3 linked regions of the Schizosaccharomyces pombe genome follow. The protein of the gene in region 2 purifies or fractionates together with the protein of the main gene of each other region. This does not show direct contact. Each region holds a gene or a part of one and is shown on either strand. Other genes may lie near its edges.

Evidence for each region. Proteins that work in one complex are often made in the same cells at the same time.
Region 1: the proteins of alp16 (region 2) and mod21 purify together in Schizosaccharomyces pombe (affinity purification with western blotting, with the first as the bait; one study listed by BioGRID). This does not show direct contact.
Region 3: the proteins of alp16 (region 2) and alp4 purify together in Schizosaccharomyces pombe (affinity purification with western blotting; 3 studies listed by BioGRID, with this or other methods). This does not show direct contact.

Annotation. Positions count from the first base shown.
Region 1 is NC_003424.3:248,079-253,655, reverse strand, and holds mod21 (gamma tubulin complex GCP5 subunit Mod21), read left to right. Parts: upstream 1-2,729; 5' UTR 2,730-2,885; coding exon 2,886-3,049; exon of another isoform or gene 3,050-3,106; coding exon 3,107-4,976; 3' UTR 4,977-5,077; downstream 5,078-5,577. Other genes in the region: fatty acid elongase Elo1, read left to right, coding at 1-66, 904-1,264, 1,319-1,930; nucleoside diphosphate kinase Ndk1, read right to left, coding at 5,273-5,577. UniProt on the Schizosaccharomyces pombe protein: Component of the gamma-tubulin complex that is required for the regulation of both interphase microtubule organization and nucleation, and mitotic bipolar spindles. Required for correct septation.
Region 2 is NC_003421.2:430,954-437,876, reverse strand, and holds alp16 (gamma tubulin complex GCP6 subunit Alp16), read left to right. Parts: upstream 1-3,090; 5' UTR 3,091-3,202; coding exon 3,203-5,482; 3' UTR 5,483-5,613; downstream 5,614-6,923. Other genes in the region: ribosome biogenesis protein Rix1, read left to right, coding at 1-1,940; SPOM_SPCC306.11 (uncharacterized protein), read right to left, coding at 6,238-6,923. UniProt on the Schizosaccharomyces pombe protein: Component of the gamma tubule complex that is required for the regulation of both interphase microtubules and mitotic bipolar spindles.
Region 3 is NC_003423.3:2,521,238-2,527,634, forward strand, and holds alp4 (gamma tubulin complex GCP2 subunit Alp4), read left to right. Parts: upstream 1-2,823; coding exon 2,824-5,178; 3' UTR 5,179-5,897; downstream 5,898-6,397. Other genes in the region: UDP-glucose 4-epimerase Uge1, read right to left, coding at 386-1,387, 1,556-1,618, 1,686-1,688. UniProt on the Schizosaccharomyces pombe protein: Component of the gamma tubule complex that is required for the regulation of both interphase microtubules and mitotic bipolar spindles.

The sequences.
Region 1 (5,577 bases), on a different chromosome or scaffold from region 2:
AACCTCTAACAATAATCATCAAGGCATGGCATCTGTTTCGGTAGGACAATTTCAGTATCCCATCTGGTGAGTTTGTCGATATTATGCCTCCGCTAAGCTATTTAACTGTTTTCCATGTTTGCCATAGCTTTGCTCACTAATGTGCCTACATAGTGATGCGTACGTGAATTTCTCTTCTAGAAGATGCTTGCTTTTTTTCCACACAAATCAATCAGTATATATTTTTCGTTTATCCTTGTTCAATGCCTTTCTACTTCCGGCGCTGTTTATTTTGAATTTTCTGAAATTTTGACTGTAGACCAGCCACTTTCTGTTTTGAGTTTTCTTTGTTTTTGACACTCTCCTACCAGCATACCGGTCTTTGTTGTCGTCCTTTCTTTGCTTACCGTTGTTACACTGTCGCTCGCTATATCGTTCCGTTCAGCATCCTCTGTTAGATATTCAATTGATAAAAAGCGGATCGGTATTTCTAGTTTTCGTTGTTGTTTTTTATCATTCCGTTGTTTATTAAGATCTCCACCATGTGGATGCTTAACGGTTCGTAAAGCGAGCTCTTAGCCAATCATTTTCGCTGACGGCCCGATAGACTCGGCAGAGTAGGTGGAATCAACAAGGGTGAAAATTTCGTTAGGTTTACTGAAATTTTTTTCATCCAAAACTTTTTCATCTCAAGTTAAACTCTGTGACTTTTTAGCTGATGTTGGATTGCTGGTATTACTGATTGATTGTGGAATGTTCATCTCTGGGGTGTGTCTTTTTTTGAGGCACATCATGTGTTACTTTTGTGTGTAGTCGTTAAGTACTACCAAACATGAAAGCAAGCGTCTGAAAGAACAATAGAAATTTCACTAGTTTTAATGCGATTGAGAGGCTTTCATGTTGATTTTTACTAACAATTTTTAGGTCATGGTTAAATTCCCTGGCAGATGCCACATTCGGAAAGCGGCCATCTTCCTTTGAATTTATCGTAAACAAAACCCGCTTTTCGTCCGCCCCGGTCGTTGCAACCATCATCATATCTTACTATCTTTTAATTCTTGTCGGAGGTAGAATTATGCGTAATAGGCAACCTATCCGTCTTCAAAAGATTTTCCAATATTATAATTTGACTTTTTCCATCGCTTCAGCTATCCTTGCACTTTTGATTTTTGAACAAGTAGCCCCTGCTATTTACAAGCACGGTTTTTTCTTTTCTATCTGCAATGAGAAAGCATGGACTCAACCGCTGGTATTTTTATACTACTGTGCTTATATTTCAAAATTCGTACGTCTCCATCGTTTTTTGACCATACTTTTTTCATTCTAACATACGTTTTAGCTTGAATTGACAGATACTTTTTTCCTTGTCCTCCGCAAAAAACCCCTTCAATTCCTTCATTGCTACCATCATGGTGCCACTGCCGTTCTTGTATATACTCAAATTGTTGGCAGAACTTCCATCAGTTGGTTGATCATTGAAATCAATTTATTGGTTCATGTTACTATGTATTATTACTACTATCTTGTAGCCAAAGGTATTCGGGTTCCTTGGAAGAAATGGGTCACCCGCTTTCAGATCGTTCAGTTCTTTGCTGATTTAGGTTTTATTTATTTCGCAGTATACACGGAGGTTGCGTATCGGTTGAAGTTTTACAAAGCCTGTATGGGCCATTGCTCAGGACATCCTTTAGCGGCGTTCTGTGGTCTCGCAACAATCTCTTCATACCTTGTTTTGTTTATCGTCTTTTACCATAACACTTACAAGAAAAATGCTGCTCTCAAAATGAAAGCTAAGGCTGCAGCTGCAACAAAAGGTAACTCATCAGAATCTTCTAAAAATGCGGACTTAAAGCGTCTCTCAAAAAGTAACGCTTCTATTGCCGAGGTTAAATGCAATAATATAGTTACTAATCTGTATCCTATTTCTTCAGGTTTAAACAATGAAAAATAATGTTTTCGTGGTACCTCTTATGGTTTTTAATTACCCGATTTTGCTCTTACTTATAACTTGATATTGAGCCCTAAAGTCTACAAGTGCCTTTTTTTTCTTTGTTCTGCTTAACGTTGCATTTAGAATTACCAATTAATAGTTGGAGTGACTTACGGGCGACGATTTTGTGAATTTTGAAAGTACTTAATTGTCCGTTAGCTTTACATCCTTGTCTATATTCGATTACTACCTTTTATCCAGTGAATCCTTTTTCCCATTCCTTAATCAAGATTTATCGACGTCTTTACATGTTCTAAACTTTTTAGCTAAACCTCTACTAAGTATAGATTTGTTAACTTCGTGGTATCTTAAGGTCAAACTTGATGGTGTGATAATATAATTAAAAAAATCAGAGCCAAAATCTTTTCTTCAATATAATGTTCTGAATCTTTTTTTCCAAAGATTAAAAGTCCATTTGTTTAATATTTTATATTAAAAAACCATGGTAATACTAATGCACAACTTATGAAAAATGGGTATAAATTAGTAAGAAAATATACGTTCTAATAACAGTACTACAGTTGTGTAAGGTTGGTAAATTTCTCTGTATAACTTGTAGTCATTGCAAGTGAGCATACGGAATTCATTATTTATTTTGAAGTTTTCTTACTATTTCAGTTAGGGAGCGGCGCCGGTTAATCTAATAACAGTAAATACGTTTAAAACAAAATATATTAGTTTTTTTTTTATTACTATTATAAATGACTTACACAGCTTAACGGCAAATAATGATTAACCCCCTTCAGTCATAAATTGACTCAACTCATTTCTCTCATGTCAAACAAAAATTTTCCTTCATTCGCGATAGTATACGAAATATACACTCCTTAATCGGCATTTTAGCAATATCAGCACATAATAAAGAACATATGAGAATACAGGCAAAGCTTAATAAATGTTTTATCAAGAACTGTAAATGACAATGTCTCGTGCGGATCAAATCCTACAGCATCTCTTAAGGGAACTAATACATAATGATTCATTAGTTGCTAGTGAATGGTTAAAACATTCAAAGAAAATCATTCAAAATGTCCCTAGTTCGACATTGGTATTTCATGAAATGATAGAACATATAAAAGGGTAACGTAAAGCAGATCTGCCGATTGTTGTTGGAATGTTAAGACTAACTTGATCTAGCATCTGTGACAAAATGGGTATACAAGGTCGGGAAGATTTAGAAATGCCTTTACGAAACGCTTGTGAAGTTCTCAATCGTCAAACCGTTAGTGTCAAGCAAAGTATATTGCATGCCCAAATATTAAAACTTTTCCTTGAATTATCTAAACCACCCTCAGATATACATGTCCCACAAATTCCCGTCTACAAAGATTGCAACAAGAATGAACAAGAAGCTATAATCCAGTTATTAACTAGTTGTGAAGGAGACCACTGGTTGATGCCTGACTGGTCTTCAATGCCTGATGATGAAACCATAACAGAAGACTCTGAGGAAGAAACTTTCAATGGAAATGCTAATGAAATTACGATACCAGCCAACATCCACATCCCTATCATCGAGGAGTCTGACAACGCGTCTAACAATAAGCTATGTACTTTATTTAAAAAAAGCAAGCAACCGAATTTAGATTTTTTACAGATAAAACCCTTTATGTTTTGGGATTCTAGTTTGAACGAAACTGTCCGAATATCTGAAAGAAGTATTATTCGCGACTCTATATATATGTTGATAGGTTATCCAAGTTTTTTCTTCTTAAAAAATGGTTCAAAAATTGAAACACGACTTTCTTTATTACCAAAGCTTCATCACATGAGCGAAGAGATTCTTCGCAGTATAATGACAGAACTTGCCGATTACGGTTCTAACTTGGAATTTTTTCGACAAAAACTAACATCTCCTAGCGATTCGTTTTTTAAAAGTGATGACCAAAGTACCAAGAATGAGCCGTTTCTCTCTGTTGTCTTCATTTATCCTCAAATAAAACCACATCTCTTAAGTTGTTTAAAAAACACACACCAAGAGCTTATTAAACTCGAAACAGAAGTTTATAACGCTACAAAGAACTGTACTCTTTTTCAATTTTTTCAACATGTAAAAAAATTCGTTGATCCACTATTGTGCTTTCGTTTCGCTTACGAAAAATCAGCAACGAATATGTGGGATTTTGTTAAAACATTGGAGTTCATATATTCAACAAGGAATTACTCTTCACAAATGTTCAAGCTCTATAAAGCTTCTGCTATTGCAATGTTATTGTGGATGGTTAATCAAGCCTCACAAATTACCAGTTCTATGACTATAGCCAGGCCTCTATATAACATTTTAATCCTTTGTAAGGATTTTCCTAACAATTTCCTTGAGAAAGACAATATTGCTCTCCAATTGGGTAGTATTGTTTTTGACCAATCTCCAACTCTAAACAATTTACTTGTGGAAATGGAAATATTAATTAGAAGCAAAATTTTAAAGCTTGGTAAATCTTTGGATTTATCTTTTGACTTTCAAAGTTTAATGGGGGAGTTTGAAAATTTAATAAAACAACAAGAAGAAGCTAAAAAGTCGTTATGGTCAAAAAGATTTAGTCGTTTCTATTATGGGCATTATGTATTCGTCAACACCTGTCATAATTTTTTCCTAACACTATATCAATCTTTTACTGAAGTTGATGAAAATTCTATATTCAACGGCGTTTTTGAAACGCTTAATAATGATGTTGATGATGAATCTGTAATAGGGGAAAAAGAGAAACTTATTTTAAAGCAAAAGCAGAAATGTTTATCTGAATTTTTTGTTGATGACATAAAGAAGCTCTTAAATGAAGAGCTGCTCAATTGTCAAAAGCAAGAGCTACCAGATGTCATGGAAAATACATATCAAATTTCGACCGTTTCAGGAATTAAAAATGATCCGTTATTTACGTTGGACCAAACCTGTAATATAATAGCGAAACTAGCGGACAATCTCATACATCCTTCTGTTCCCATTGGTAGTTCTGCCTATCGATGTAGACGAAATTTGGCTGACTTATTATTCCTTATAATGCCATGATTACGATAAAATGCCATAATATTTACCATTACGTGTATAGAATCAATAGATTTCATAAAAGTAACCTTTTGGATGAGTAAAACCATACTGACTTACATGCGATTTCTCTAGTTTCATGTCGTTTACTAACGAATGATATTTGAAAAAGACCTATATCTATTAAAAAAAATGATAGTGTGCTTTAATGAAGGTAGAAAATCATTAGTCATATTTATTTGCTTTGGGTGTTGCTGATAGTTTGCATCACCCATAACAAACACGAGTCCTTTTGAAGAGGCTCTTTAACTTCTTCTTATTCATTCGTAAATCCAAGGTTCAATTGTACGATCGTAAACTTGGATTTCCGAAGGCTGGAACCAAAGTTTAATTTCACGATTAGCGCTTTCTATGGAATCAGAACCATGGCAAACGTTTCTACCAAGGTCGATACCATAATCACCGCGAATAGTGCCAGGGGCAGAATCCAGAGGGTTACTGGCGCCCAACATTAAGCGACCAGTTTTCACGGCTTGTTTACCTTCCCATATCATGGCACATACAGGGCCTGATGCCATGAAACCAACGAGTTTCTCATAAAAAGGCTTTCCTTTATGTTCGGCAT
Region 2 (6,923 bases):
GTCCATTTGTTTCCTCAATAAGGAATATTTGCATTAAAATTTTAGATGGGGAAGAAGTAGTCCCTTCTTCATTACAGAAGAAAGCAGCTGTTCTTTATGCTTCGTTGTATCGATGTGTGGGGAAAGGAAATTTTGAAGACTATTGGAAGCAAAGTATTATTTCAATCCTAAAGGAATATCATCTTACTTTGGATTTTTTGTTTCAATTTGTTATAGAACCGCAAACATACCCAACTCGTGAAGAGAATTTGATGTTTCCAAAACTCAAAGGCCACTACGAAGAAACTTATCAGAAAGCTTTACACAGATGCAGAACTCTAAACTTGATTTTAATTTCTTTTTTAAGTACAAAGACGGATAAAATCGTTTTGCTTCCCATAAATGCTTTGAAGGATTTAATTCAACGTGTTTATACTGTACAACTTTCATTGCCTGTTAAAAGCGTAGAAAGTTCAGTTCAAGCTTTGCTATTCATGGTCCTTCCTCATTTGCATACGCTAGTTAATGAGTTAACCTTAAAGCTTTTTGTGGTAATTCCTCCAGCTATCATTCTTTCATTTGATTCTTACCTGGATTCATTAAATGATTGTTTACTTTCTGAGTCAACACATACTGGGGTTTTATGCTCTTCTTTAAAGTTACTTTCAAAGTTTTTGGATGTGACACATATGAATGTCCCTCTTTCAAAATACGAAAATATTGTAACGCTGGTATTAGAATATCTTGCTAATTCCTCTAAAGGTTTAGCATCCAAATCCATAGAGTTCTCTAAAAATCGTGGGCATTCTCAAAAAAAGCGAAAAACACTTTCTGAAAGTCAAGCAGGAGATACACTTATGAGTTCGGAAGAGTCTCATCAGCTTTATGATTCAGATGTCATGGATTGTTGTTTTTCTTTTTTAGCATCCATTTTGACTCATTCAATAGCATTACCACGTTTATTACGGACCAAAATAGATCTTTGCACCTTGCAGATATCTTTGTCTAACCCTACCTCAACAGTTTTGATATCTATGCATAATTTACTCCTTGCGTCAATTTTATCACCGGGAGATTCACAAGCAGTGATAGTACCTCATGCAATACGTATAATTTCTGGTCCATTAGGGCTTGTACATCCAGATCCTCTGGTCGCTTCACACGCAAGGTCATCGATGCAAACAATAGAATCGCTGATTCATCCTAGGTTCCCACCTTTGCAAAAACATCTTTCACCAAGCGAATTTGAAAATACGTTTGAGTCAAGATTTGAGCCTGTTTCTCTTGAAAACCAATCGCATATTTCTCCACCCCAGGTGGATTCTCAATCAGAGTATAAAGAAAGTAGTATTTTGGCTCCATCAAATCCTCCCTTTGAAACAGAGTCGATTACAGATTCCACTGAAATTGAAGGGATCAAAGAGTCTTTTGCATCTACAGATACAGGCTTACAGAATAATTCTACAGCTACCTCCGAGAACAAAAGAAGCGAATCAGAGCTGACTATGTCTAATGTTCTTTCTAATGAGGGTGACAGAAATGAAGAAGGTAGTGAAATCAACTCTTCTCAACCTTCAACTATTAATCACGGGACTGATCACATTAACATTGTTTCGGAAAACAAGGAAACAACTGTTTCACTGTTGCATGGAGATGTTGAGGTTGAGGAGACTACAAATGTTGCATTAAACAATTCTCAGGACACTGAAACCAAATTTACTGCTATAGACGTTGACTTTGTTGACCGACCTACTAGTGTAGTTTCAAGCCAAATTGAAAACATAAATGGTGATGAAAATGGAAACACAACTTCTTCAGTCGTCGAAACTTTTGAAAAAACAACGGATGTCGTAGATGAGAAAACGACTTCTATTAATGTGGAAGGAAACGGAGAAGATGATGAGGAGGAAGACAATATCTCTTTGCCAAGTATAAACTTGGAATCTGATAGTGATAGTTAGTCTTAATTTATAAAAAGGATTTGGGGGTACTGAATGTTTATTTTAAATTCTATTTCTAGATAAGTAGGTTGTCATTTAATCCAAGCTGATTTTTATAAAGTCCTGTATGTATTATCGTCATGGCAAAAAAGGTACATCAAGCTGATATTTGGAGGTTAAAATCAATTGATTTTGACCTCCAGAATACATTGCTTATGTGTTCTCCTTTTTAATTAGCTAAATTTTCCAGTAATACAAAGTACAAAGTCTTGTGTTATCCGCAAAAATTTTTAATTAATCATTTTTATACCATTGGTGTCACAAAAATCCCGATTATTTTAGAGTTAGACTGTCGTTTATGTTTTTTGAGAAAGAATTAAAACAACTTATCTAGTCTAGTGTTTAAAAGAATTTTATACTGTTTCATTAAGAATAATGAAGATATCCCTTTCCAAAGGCAAAAGAAAAGTCGATAACTATATAATGCAAGCTTCTAAACAAACTTGAATTAGTGATTGCAACATTTCTTTTGCCAACAATATTTAAATCCTTCATTGCTTGACACATGGTTTTATGAGAAAAATTAAGAAAGAACATTAAGTACTTCAAATAAATTTGTTGAAGGATCCAAAATTCTCCAAATAGACTTTTTTTATATGAAGATACCATTCATTCAGCTTTGACTCGCATGCGAGCTCTCTGGACAATAAACGATCAAGCCAGCGAGGTATACTGTAACCATAATATCACGAATAGTACAATAAACTTTTTTTTAAAAAAATCTAAATGTACTAACCAGAGAAGCATAAAAGAGCTCTTATAGTTCCATAAAGGATACGTTTTATCCACATAGCACTCTCTTAAAATTAAATGCTGGAATGTCGTTTTGGATAGATTATGCAATTGTGCAATAGTAATTCCTTAACAACTGATAGTTTTTGTTCAATTTATCATTCTGTTTTATTCATCCTGGATACCTTTAACTCCATGTCAGTATTTTCTGTTGTACGGCCACGAGAGTACGGATTTTTGAATTGGTTTCAATGTTAGGATCAATTACTAACGTTCCATTTCTTAGTTTAAGAGACGCATACTTCATTCACATCTTCTAATCCTGACTGTTCTAGATAAGAAGTCATCTTAATTCGCTACGTTAACAACATTATACATTAACTACACACATATTGCCAAATTTTAGTAATTCATAACAAGAGTGTTTTCCAGTAAAGGAGTTGGATCTTGAAATGTACCACTAAAATAGATGATTTTGAAATAAAAATGGAATGGATGGAATTATGAAAAACGACTTGTTATGGTTCGGCAACCACGTTTTCGACCTTACGCCAAATTCATTTGATTCTGATTTTGTCGAGCAGCTTTCGAAATTTGAGGGAAAAGAAGGATTGAAGAGGAAGTTATTTGACTCCTCGGAATACTTTCAAAACTTTTCATTTCAAGTAAACGATGATCTGTTGGGAAAAGATGTCATTCTCGATATTTCAAATCAACAACTAACACCCGCTGTGCCTGGGTGTGAGACATCATCCAATTCCAAACTCATAAGCGCATCTAAGGAAATTACTTCAGAAAGAAAAAGAGCTAAATCCTCAGTGTCCCCCTCTTATCTTACAGATTCATCACCCAGCGATTTATCTGTCGAAAACAAAGTTCTGCTAACATGCCCTAGCTGGGATGGAGAAAATTTTAAAAATTTAGAAGCTAGATCTCCATTCATATCTGAAGCGCCTTCTCGGGTATATGATTATTTTCTTCATAATCAGGATTGGAGTCCGAAACCATTATTTTCTGCACTGCAAGTTTACCCTTTAGCAACTATTTTCAATTGCGTGGCTGGTTTACCACAAGGATTTGAAAGCACAGTGTTTCCATGGAACAAAACCTCAAGCACATTTGAACTCGATCCGACCATCTCCGTTTCAGGAATGTCCGATGAATGTTTTGCTAGTATCGTCCAGAAATTTTCTGCAATTGGGGGTTTAATAAAAAAAGCTTTAAATGAATTCTCTTTATACAAGACCAACATTTCTTTTTATTTATCAAATTTCATTGTGAATGGTGTCTTGCAGTATCGAAAGGAGTTTCAGCGTTGGCTTCGTCTTTATGAGTTCCGTAGATTCGGTCTGATTGGTTTAAGTAACTTTGTTAATTCTTTTTCTTCATTCTTTGAGTTAATTTCACACTTCTTAATAAAATCGGCTCAAAACCTAAAAGGAGATTCCTTGTTAGATTTTCTTTTTGATTATGCGCGTTCATGTCAGAATACCATATCTTACCCCATTGCCCTACAGTGCTTGATATATTGCTCAAATCCCTACTTCAAAAGGCTTGAGCTTGCTTTAAAAGTTTCTTGTGCGTATGGTCACATTGATTCTTCATTGTTCTTATCACTTCCCCGTTTTTTTCCTTCTGAACTTTGTGTAAGCATTGAACAGTGTATTCAATTTTTGTCATTAATAAGGGAACAAAAAGAAATATTTAATAAAAACAACAAAGAATTTATTAACCCTTTGAACATTCGGTTCGCATATTCTTTCAACGACATAAATCAAGCTTGTGTAATAGAGGAGCGCTGCAACTTTTCTTCGCTTTCTTTTGGTAATTTGGAACAAACTTCCGTCAATAATGACAGTGAAGAATTTGAAACGCTGCTTGCTAAAATGAACATGACTCCAGATTTCAACGATAATTTATTACAACTTAAATTTACAGATGATGTGCGCAACGTCTGTCCGCTTAACTTGAATGTTTGCTGCTGTATTGCTGAGCCAATACAATCTTTTATTCTCAGTTTCTTACGTTCGACATATAAAGTTTTAAAAAACGATTTTCAGGTGTTTGATCTTTTAAATTTTTTTCATTCCACTTTTCTTTTTCAAAATTATGAATTCTCTGATAATGTCATTTCTCTGTTAAAATCAAGAAGGCTTGATAAATCTGACCGTAATGAGTTGGCTGAGGACTTGAACTCTGATGACAGATATAATTTTATTTCTCGATTGAAAAAATTCATTTTTATGGAAAAAGAAAAAAATGGGTTGAGCAGGTCTTTATCTAAGAGTATAACTTTTACATTGGATTCTGCGAGCGTTAGTGAATTTGAGGATGTGTACCCTGATTTACAATTCCAATGCCAAGTAATAGGTGCTTTACGGATATTATTTACTGATAACTCTTTAAATTATTATTCGAAAACTTTTTCTTACGTTTTACATCTCTTTCAAGCTCAATCAGACTTTGAATCATCTGTCGAATTGAAAGATCGTTCTATAGTAACAAAAACAACTATTATGTCATGGTCTAAGTATCAAGGCACGAAAGAATCTCTTTTTCAGTTTCTTTCAATATACATTCCAGAGTGTATGTTGCCTTTTACGAAATTACTGAAATCCATATATTCTCCTGACTGTCCTACGAACATACAAAATTCTGCAATTAAAAATGCGGCTTCAGTTCACGAGCAGTGCACTAAAGCAATTTATCAAAAGGTCAAAGAGTTGTTTGATACCATGAAACTCTGGGAGTCATCCATCAAAGTGTCATAACAAAAAACCAGATCCGGATGACGGATTTTTACGAGTGTAAACATGCTAATCTCACCTTTAAGTTTGAAGAATATACGATTTTACAGCAGAAAAAAATTTATAAGCACAACACTTACAGAAAATTCCTTGCATAAAATGATAAAGAATGTAAAGAAGTATTTGGATAAATTCATGAGTAAAGTATTTACTAGAGATATATCTTAATCTAAGTTTAAACAACCTGTGCCAAACAAAAGGAAATTAATTTAACAAAGAAAGGGATGAAGAATTAAAAGGAATCAAAATAGAAATGAACAGTCAAGCTTATGATTGATTGTTTGAAGATCAAACATATCAAGGTAAAGTGCCATGATCACAGGAAAATACGCAATGTAGTTTAGTAAGTTATTTTGGTGCAAAAATATATGCGCTTTAATGGTGGAACATACCAGTATGTCCCACTTAATTTGCTCGTTCAAAAAATGCATGCAAAAAAAAAAAAAAAGATACAAATCTGTAAATACCTCACGCAAATATAAGAGTGCAAATAAAGACATGTTGAGAAAAGAGTAGAGGCAAAAGCCAAAAGATAAAAATCTTACTGGACGCCTATCACTTTGGTGAAGTTGAGGGTAAACGGACAAGGAATGCATGAAAAAGGAAGGAGGTAAGTGATAATTTAATGTTAGCAAGGAAGACATGCAAGTAAGGAACAAGTGCCCATGTTCCTTATTTTAGATTTTTTTTAAAGAAAAAGGGAATCTATGCGAAATCCTTTACCACAAGAAGGCATTGTCACGGTAGTTAAAGACACTGGTAATGTTTGGATTTATTTTGGAAGTAGTGTTAACAATAACATGGTCATCGGCAACAGGGATACGACTGTCGTTGGTATATACACAAATACCTTGACCTTTATAGCCAATATTACGGCAAGTAGCACCACCAAATGGAGTGCGCAAAGCAGAGTTACAATTAACGGGGTATTGGGTGCCATTGAAGCAAGTGTTAACCAAGTAAGGGTAATCCGTATTACACAAAGTCATGTTGCAAGACCAATCCATTGAGGAATCACGAGTGAATAAGATGGGTTGATCAACAATGTTGGTATAGCTTAAAGATATACCGGAAGAACGCTTGCTGTGAGTGCTCGTACTTCCCGAACTAACGGAAGTGGTCACGTTGATAACATTTGCATTGTCAAAGTTGGAAGAATTAGCGCTAGTGGAGTAGTTGGAGGATCCGATCTGACAAAGACCGCGAGTTAGTCCGTAGGAAGAATTGGTTTCAACACATGCGGAACCACGACCCTTGGGATAACCAAGCACAGTAGGGCAGTTCAAGAGAACAGTGCTATGATTAGCGCAAATGGCAATTACATCGGGTGAAACACAAAGGTTGGAGCCACTTACATGGCAATATGTACCTTCCGAAATATTATAATAGGAGGTAGAAGCTATAG
Region 3 (6,397 bases), on a different chromosome or scaffold from region 2:
AGAACCTTTGAATAAAAAAATACAATTAAAAGGTGAAATATAAAGAAACTTCAATATTAGAAAAAATGTCAACTTGACGAAAATGCGTATGCAAAAGAAAGAAATAAAAATGTAAACCGAAAGTGATTGTTTTGAAATAAGCTTCATTGTTAAATCCCTTTTAAAACATAAGTTATTCGCAAACCGGTATTATTAGCGACCTAATCGATAGCTCGAGCGCACTTACAATAAACAATTAAGGTACAGGAAAGGGAAAAGGGTTCATCAAACAATACATTATAATGTCTTTGAATCCATAAGTCCTAAAACATATTATGCAAATTTGAATCAAGAAAGAGAAGGAAATTATTTAAAACCCACTTAATCCGAAAAGGAAGAGTATGGTTTACTTATATGTCTTGGTATGGGTCAGGTCAAAGCCATAGGGATACTTCTGTTGCCATCTCCAAGTGTCAACGCAAATTTCATAAATGCTACGACTGGTTTTCCATTTTAACTCCTCGTTAGCGCGAGTGGGGTTGGCGGTTAGGTTAACAACGTCCCCTGCTCTTCTAGGGGTGACCTTATAAGGAAGATCTCTTCCAACAGCTTTCGAAAACGCATTGAGCACCTGAAAAACAGTACTACCAGTTCCTGATCCCAAATTCCAAGGGCGGCAACTAACAAAATGTTGGCGCAGGTAATCGAGAGCAGCAACATGAGCCTCTGCCAAATCGCATACGTGAATGTAGTCACGAATTGGAGTACCGTCAGATGTGGGATAATCGTCGCCAAATACATTCAAATGATCCAATCTTCCTACAGCAACTTGCGCGATATAAGGAAGCAAGTTATTAGGGATGCCAAGAGGATCTTCACCGAGTTCACCAGAGGGATGAGCACCTCCGGGATTAAAATAGCGTAATAAAGCTGCATTAAGCGATTTGTTCACCTTGGTCTCATCCTCAATGATATTTTCAATGAAAAGCTTTGTGCGACCATATGGGCTTGTACCTTCACGAGGGCATGACTCTGGAATAGGAATGGTACCACCAGGTCTAGTAGGATCGCCATACACGGTAGCAGATGAAGAAAAGACGAAGTCACGTACATTATACTTCTTCATGCACTCTATTAAATTAATGGTACCGGAAATGTTATTTTTGTAATAACTCAAAGGAACCTGTACAGATTCACCAACTGCTTTGAGACCAGCAAAATGAATGACAGCAGATATGTTTTGATTTGCGAAGACCTTGTCCAAAGCTGGCTCATCAAGCAAATCCACCTGGTGGAATATGACTTTTTTCCCAGTGAGTTTTTCAATGCGGTGCACGGCTTCAACGCGAGAATTGCATAAATTATCGACAATTACAACATCATATCCTTTTTCTAACAAAACAACGCACTATTGCAGATTGTGGTTAGCAAAATATCTCAAAAAAGAGCTTTATAGAATATGGACGAAATTGTATAAAAGTAAAGAGCAGCAAGCTATATTCACAAAAGATGCGTGCTTAAAACATTTACATGTACATTACTAATCCTCTTCTGTATCTTCAAGCTCTCTACGTACCGTATGAGAACCTATATAACCAGCGCCGCCAGTAACCAACACAGTCCCTTCATGAACACCAGTCTATGAATCATAATTAGTATTTTCATACAAAAGAATGCTTTTGATTAATTAAAAAAGTTATTCATACCATTTTACACGTTATAATTTGATATTAAAGGGGTGGGCTCAAGACTGTAGCTATTATGCTCTTTCTTTGTTGGATATTCAGTTTCCTACATGCTCAAGGTATCAATGCAGGTCGTTACCTCCTGTAACCTGACATGATGTAAAACGAGCAAAAGCCACAATGAAGCTTAAGCTAAAAGTGAAAAGTGCTTGTATATCTCGCTAAACCATTTTATTGATATATCGCTAAAAAATTCCTAATCATAATATTATATAGTAACAAAGAGGTCGTCGGAATAAGTGTATAGCAGATGAATGCCTGTGATTAGGTGTATGGATTTTTCATGTTCATAAAGCATTGAGGTAGTAATTTAATGTATGTGCATTTACCAATAAATTTTTTTTTTGTATTTATTTTTTTAAAAGATGAACTCGAGATTTTACAACCAATATACACTTTGATAGATGTAATGTTTGTGATTTCACCACCAGCTTCATGCGACTACAAAATCCTTGCTTCCCTAGAAAAGCATTTTATCTGTAAATAAATCATTGATGCTTATATGTATTTTTGAAAAAATTTATTTTGTTAAAGAAATAACAAGTAAATGTATAATTAACATAAAACCGAGCTAAATTTATTGCTTTTATTATGCAAATATTACCTACTGGCTAGTAAATAAAGCGAAGTAGTCTGCATTAGAATAAAAAATTTAAACACAACAAAAAAAAAAAAAAAAAAAAAAAAAAAAAGATGAAGGGAATAAATCCCTCAAGCTTAGGATCTAAAATTTTTATCCATTCAAAATAAACTCTAGCATATAGAATTTGTCACTGTCTACTGCTATCCATATATACTCGAATGAGTATTTGGGGTCCTTTGAGTTTACGGTAGTCTTACAATAGAAAATGCTGCAGTCTTCTAGTTATGTATTTTTTGACTAATTTTTTTTATACTTTTTTGCATTTTTTAATGCTACACGGACCTGAGTTGGTTTGCTTTGAAATTGCGTTGATTGTTAGCTGGCGCATACTTACCAACCTACATCTTAAAACTGGCCTGCTGGTAAACAAGCATATCCGAATAATAATTACAAAGAGCACTAAATATTAAATAAATGTTCACACTTTTGTAGATTATATAAAAAAAGACTCTTTAAATGGTGAGATCGATTAGTTCGGTGCTTGCTAAAGAAGAAAGCGAGAATGGGAGTCCAATTCCAGCTCTCGAGGAAGGGAGCGTTTATCATGTCTCTTTGAAGAGTGAAGGTGTTTCTCCATTTTCTGATAGGATTCAATTAAATTATCTTTACGATGGGAAGACTTTTAGCGATCCTTCGAACTTAAATATCCATCAGCAGGAAGCATGTCTCATAAACGAACTCTTAAATGCATTTATGGGCATGGAGGGTGTATTTGTACATCTCCAAGACATGAAAGCATCCTCTGAGTTTGAAACCATTATTATGCCGCCATCGTTTTATATTCTTCCTGGATTTGATTTAGGTATAAAGGATATTGCTTCTGAGATGTTAGAGATGGGGTCTCATTATTTAAGTATCACAGCTTTTATAGAATCGAGAAGCCATTTTGAATACGGATTTGTTAACCACGCATTGTGCGCTGCTTTGCGAAAGTTTGTGATGGACTACGTGGTACTTATCATGCAGTGTGAAAATCAGAGCCGAATTGATCCAAATTTTTCTCTTCAAACTCTTCGCCTTTATACTCTTCCCACATCGCGTTCATTACGACAAGTGTATTTAATTCTACGTGACCTGCTTTTGTCTATGGAAAAGAATGCTTCCAGCAGCGATGATTTAGGTCTTAGTAACATCGACGATCTTTTAGAGCAACTTAATGAAGGAAATGACATTTCACATGTTGTTAATGCCACTAGGTCTAAGAAAAAGGTTTGTAAAGGTGGGCAAGTCATTTCTTTTTTGACCGAAAGTCTTACGAAATATGCGGGTGATCCTGTGGCACGAAAAATCCTAACCTATTTATTGCGCGAAGCTTCACGCCCTTATACAAAAATGTTGAATGAGTGGATCCATCTCGGGCTCGTAAATGACCCATATGATGAATTTATGATAAAAATACACAAAGGAATCACATCTATGCAACTTGATGAAGACTACACAGATGAATATTGGGAAAAACGATACGTGATTCGAGAGGATCAAGTTCCTCCACAATTGCTTGATTTACAAAACAAGGTACTCTTTGCAGGCAAGTATTTGAACGTCGTTTTAGAGTGTAGGAAGGGAGTTAATAACCTGGCTTCGTTAAATGCAAAAGACGATACTCAAAACCAGTTGCTCTGGCCTTCAACCTTCGATGATGATAACTTTACTTTAAATATCATGAATGCCTATGTTTATGCAAATGAATCTCTCTTGCAATTACTCCAGTCTTCACAGTCTCTTTACGCTCATCTGTACTCGCTCAAACATTATTTTTTCCTTGATCAATCTGACTTTTTTACAACATTTCTTGACAATGCTCAACACGAGCTACGAAAACCTGCAAAGTATATATCTATCACGAAGTTGCAGTCGCAATTAGATTTAGCCCTTCGTCAGCCTGGTACGATAACTGCGACTGATCCACATAAAGAATACGTGACTGTAGAAGTGAATCAAACATCATTAATAGACTGGCTCATGCATATTGTAAGTATCAGTGGTTTGGAAGAAGGAACATCATCTCAGGGAAACGAAGTTTGGAATGAATCAATCACGAAGCAAGCGGATGTGGGCAATGAAACTCGAAATTTTGAGAGTGAACACAATCGGAGCACACAGGGGACTTCAAAAGTTGGTAGCGATAAAGATATTAATGGATTTGAAACGATGCAACTATGCTATAAAGTTCCATTTCCCCTTTCACTTATTTTATCCCGCAAAGCTATTATTCGATATCAACTTTTGTTCAGATATTTTCTTTTACTTCGTCACGTTGAAATGCAACTTGAGAATAGTTGGGTGCAGCACAGCAAGAATAGTGCTTGGCGTCTCAATTCCTCCAATGCGAAAATCGAACAATGGAAAAGGAACAGCTGGTTATTAAGGACACGAATGCTTAGTTTTGTTCAAAAAATAATCTACTATACTACAAGTGAGGTGATTGAAACACATTGGGGGAAATTTATGGGAGAACTTGAGAACGCCCGAACTGTGGATAATTTAATGCAGGAGCATATCGATTTTTTGGATACGTGTCTAAAAGAATGCATGCTTACTAACTCGCGATTACTTAAAGTACAATCTAAATTACTTAATACTTGTGCTATGTTTGCCTCTTATACTTCCACGTTTACCCGATCCTTATATTTGCTTGAGAATTCCGAAGAAAGCTTTGATGAAGGAAGAATGGATAAGATGGAAGAAATTTTACGCCGGTACGAAGACAGTTTTAGTCGTCATTTAAAATCCTTAGTGAATGCTTGTAACTACTTTGCAAGTACTGAGACGGCGGCTCTTTTAAGTTTAGTAATGAAATTGACGGGATAACTAAGAAGAGACAAGATAAAACAAGGCAAGGTAGAAAAACTACAAATGGAACAACGTTACTATTGTTTTATTGAGATATGAAGAAACATCTGACAAACAGCAATGGAAATTGGGAGAAAAACTTTTATGGATATTTATATAGTCGGTTTTTGGATAACCTTATCTTTGACATCTTGTTGCTTGTACTCGTTAATAAAGAAATGACTTGGAGTGAGGATCTTGCGGAATGGCCAATTATCTTCATAAACAAGCATTGCTTATCCGCAGTATACATTGGTCCATTTTCAGTAGTTTGGACTTTTTTTTGGCCAGTTGTCACACTAAAAGCGTACTGCACTATTCGGTTAAAAATTGACAAAAAGACGACTGCCATTGGCCATGAATTTAAGAATGATTATGGAGAAAGGCATGGCGAGCGTTTAATATGCCAACACTTGTGTTATATAAAAAATAATCGATTTTTTAAAATGTCTGAAACAGGGTTTGCTGATAATGCCTGAGGAATGGTAACTTGGATTTTTGATCGCTAATTTTTTATTAGCTATGTCGCTAAATTTAAGGCAAGTCGGCAGTATGCCGCGTGATTGAGGAAGAACGAAGAGAGAGGCTAAGCATTTGTTCCTAGTCTAAAGAGCTATCGATTGATTTTGAAGTGATACAATGTATGCTAACGTTTGTACCATAGACAGCTATAGTAATGAACTTTGTTATGTGAAGAAGTACAGTTGCTACGACAGTAATGATGATGATGTATGTATATAAAAACCAAACCAAGGTTTAATTTAGGTGGTTATAGTATTGTATACGCAAAACTATTCATTTGTGTGCACTCGTAATGAATTTCTAGTAATTGTATTTTGCAGTTAAAAGTTTAATGGATGCGTAAACAAAGGAACAGGTAAGCTAGTAAAGCGCATACAAAAATTGTAATATCGAAGGAAAACGTCAATTTAGATTAGTGTAGGATGGTTATTACGAAAGGATAGAGTTACTATGAAAAGTGAGTACAGATTGTATGATTAAGTATGGGGGCGATAGCTGGGTGTGAGGCAAAGGAATCATATGACTTTAGAATTATCGCATCAAGGAGTAAGAAAAACGAAAACTTATCTCACAGTGGATTGCCCAAAATTATCAATCCCCCACCATGTAAGAGGAAACAAGAGAAACAGAGAGAGGGAGAAAGAAATAATTAGAAACTAGCAAATATACTTTACAG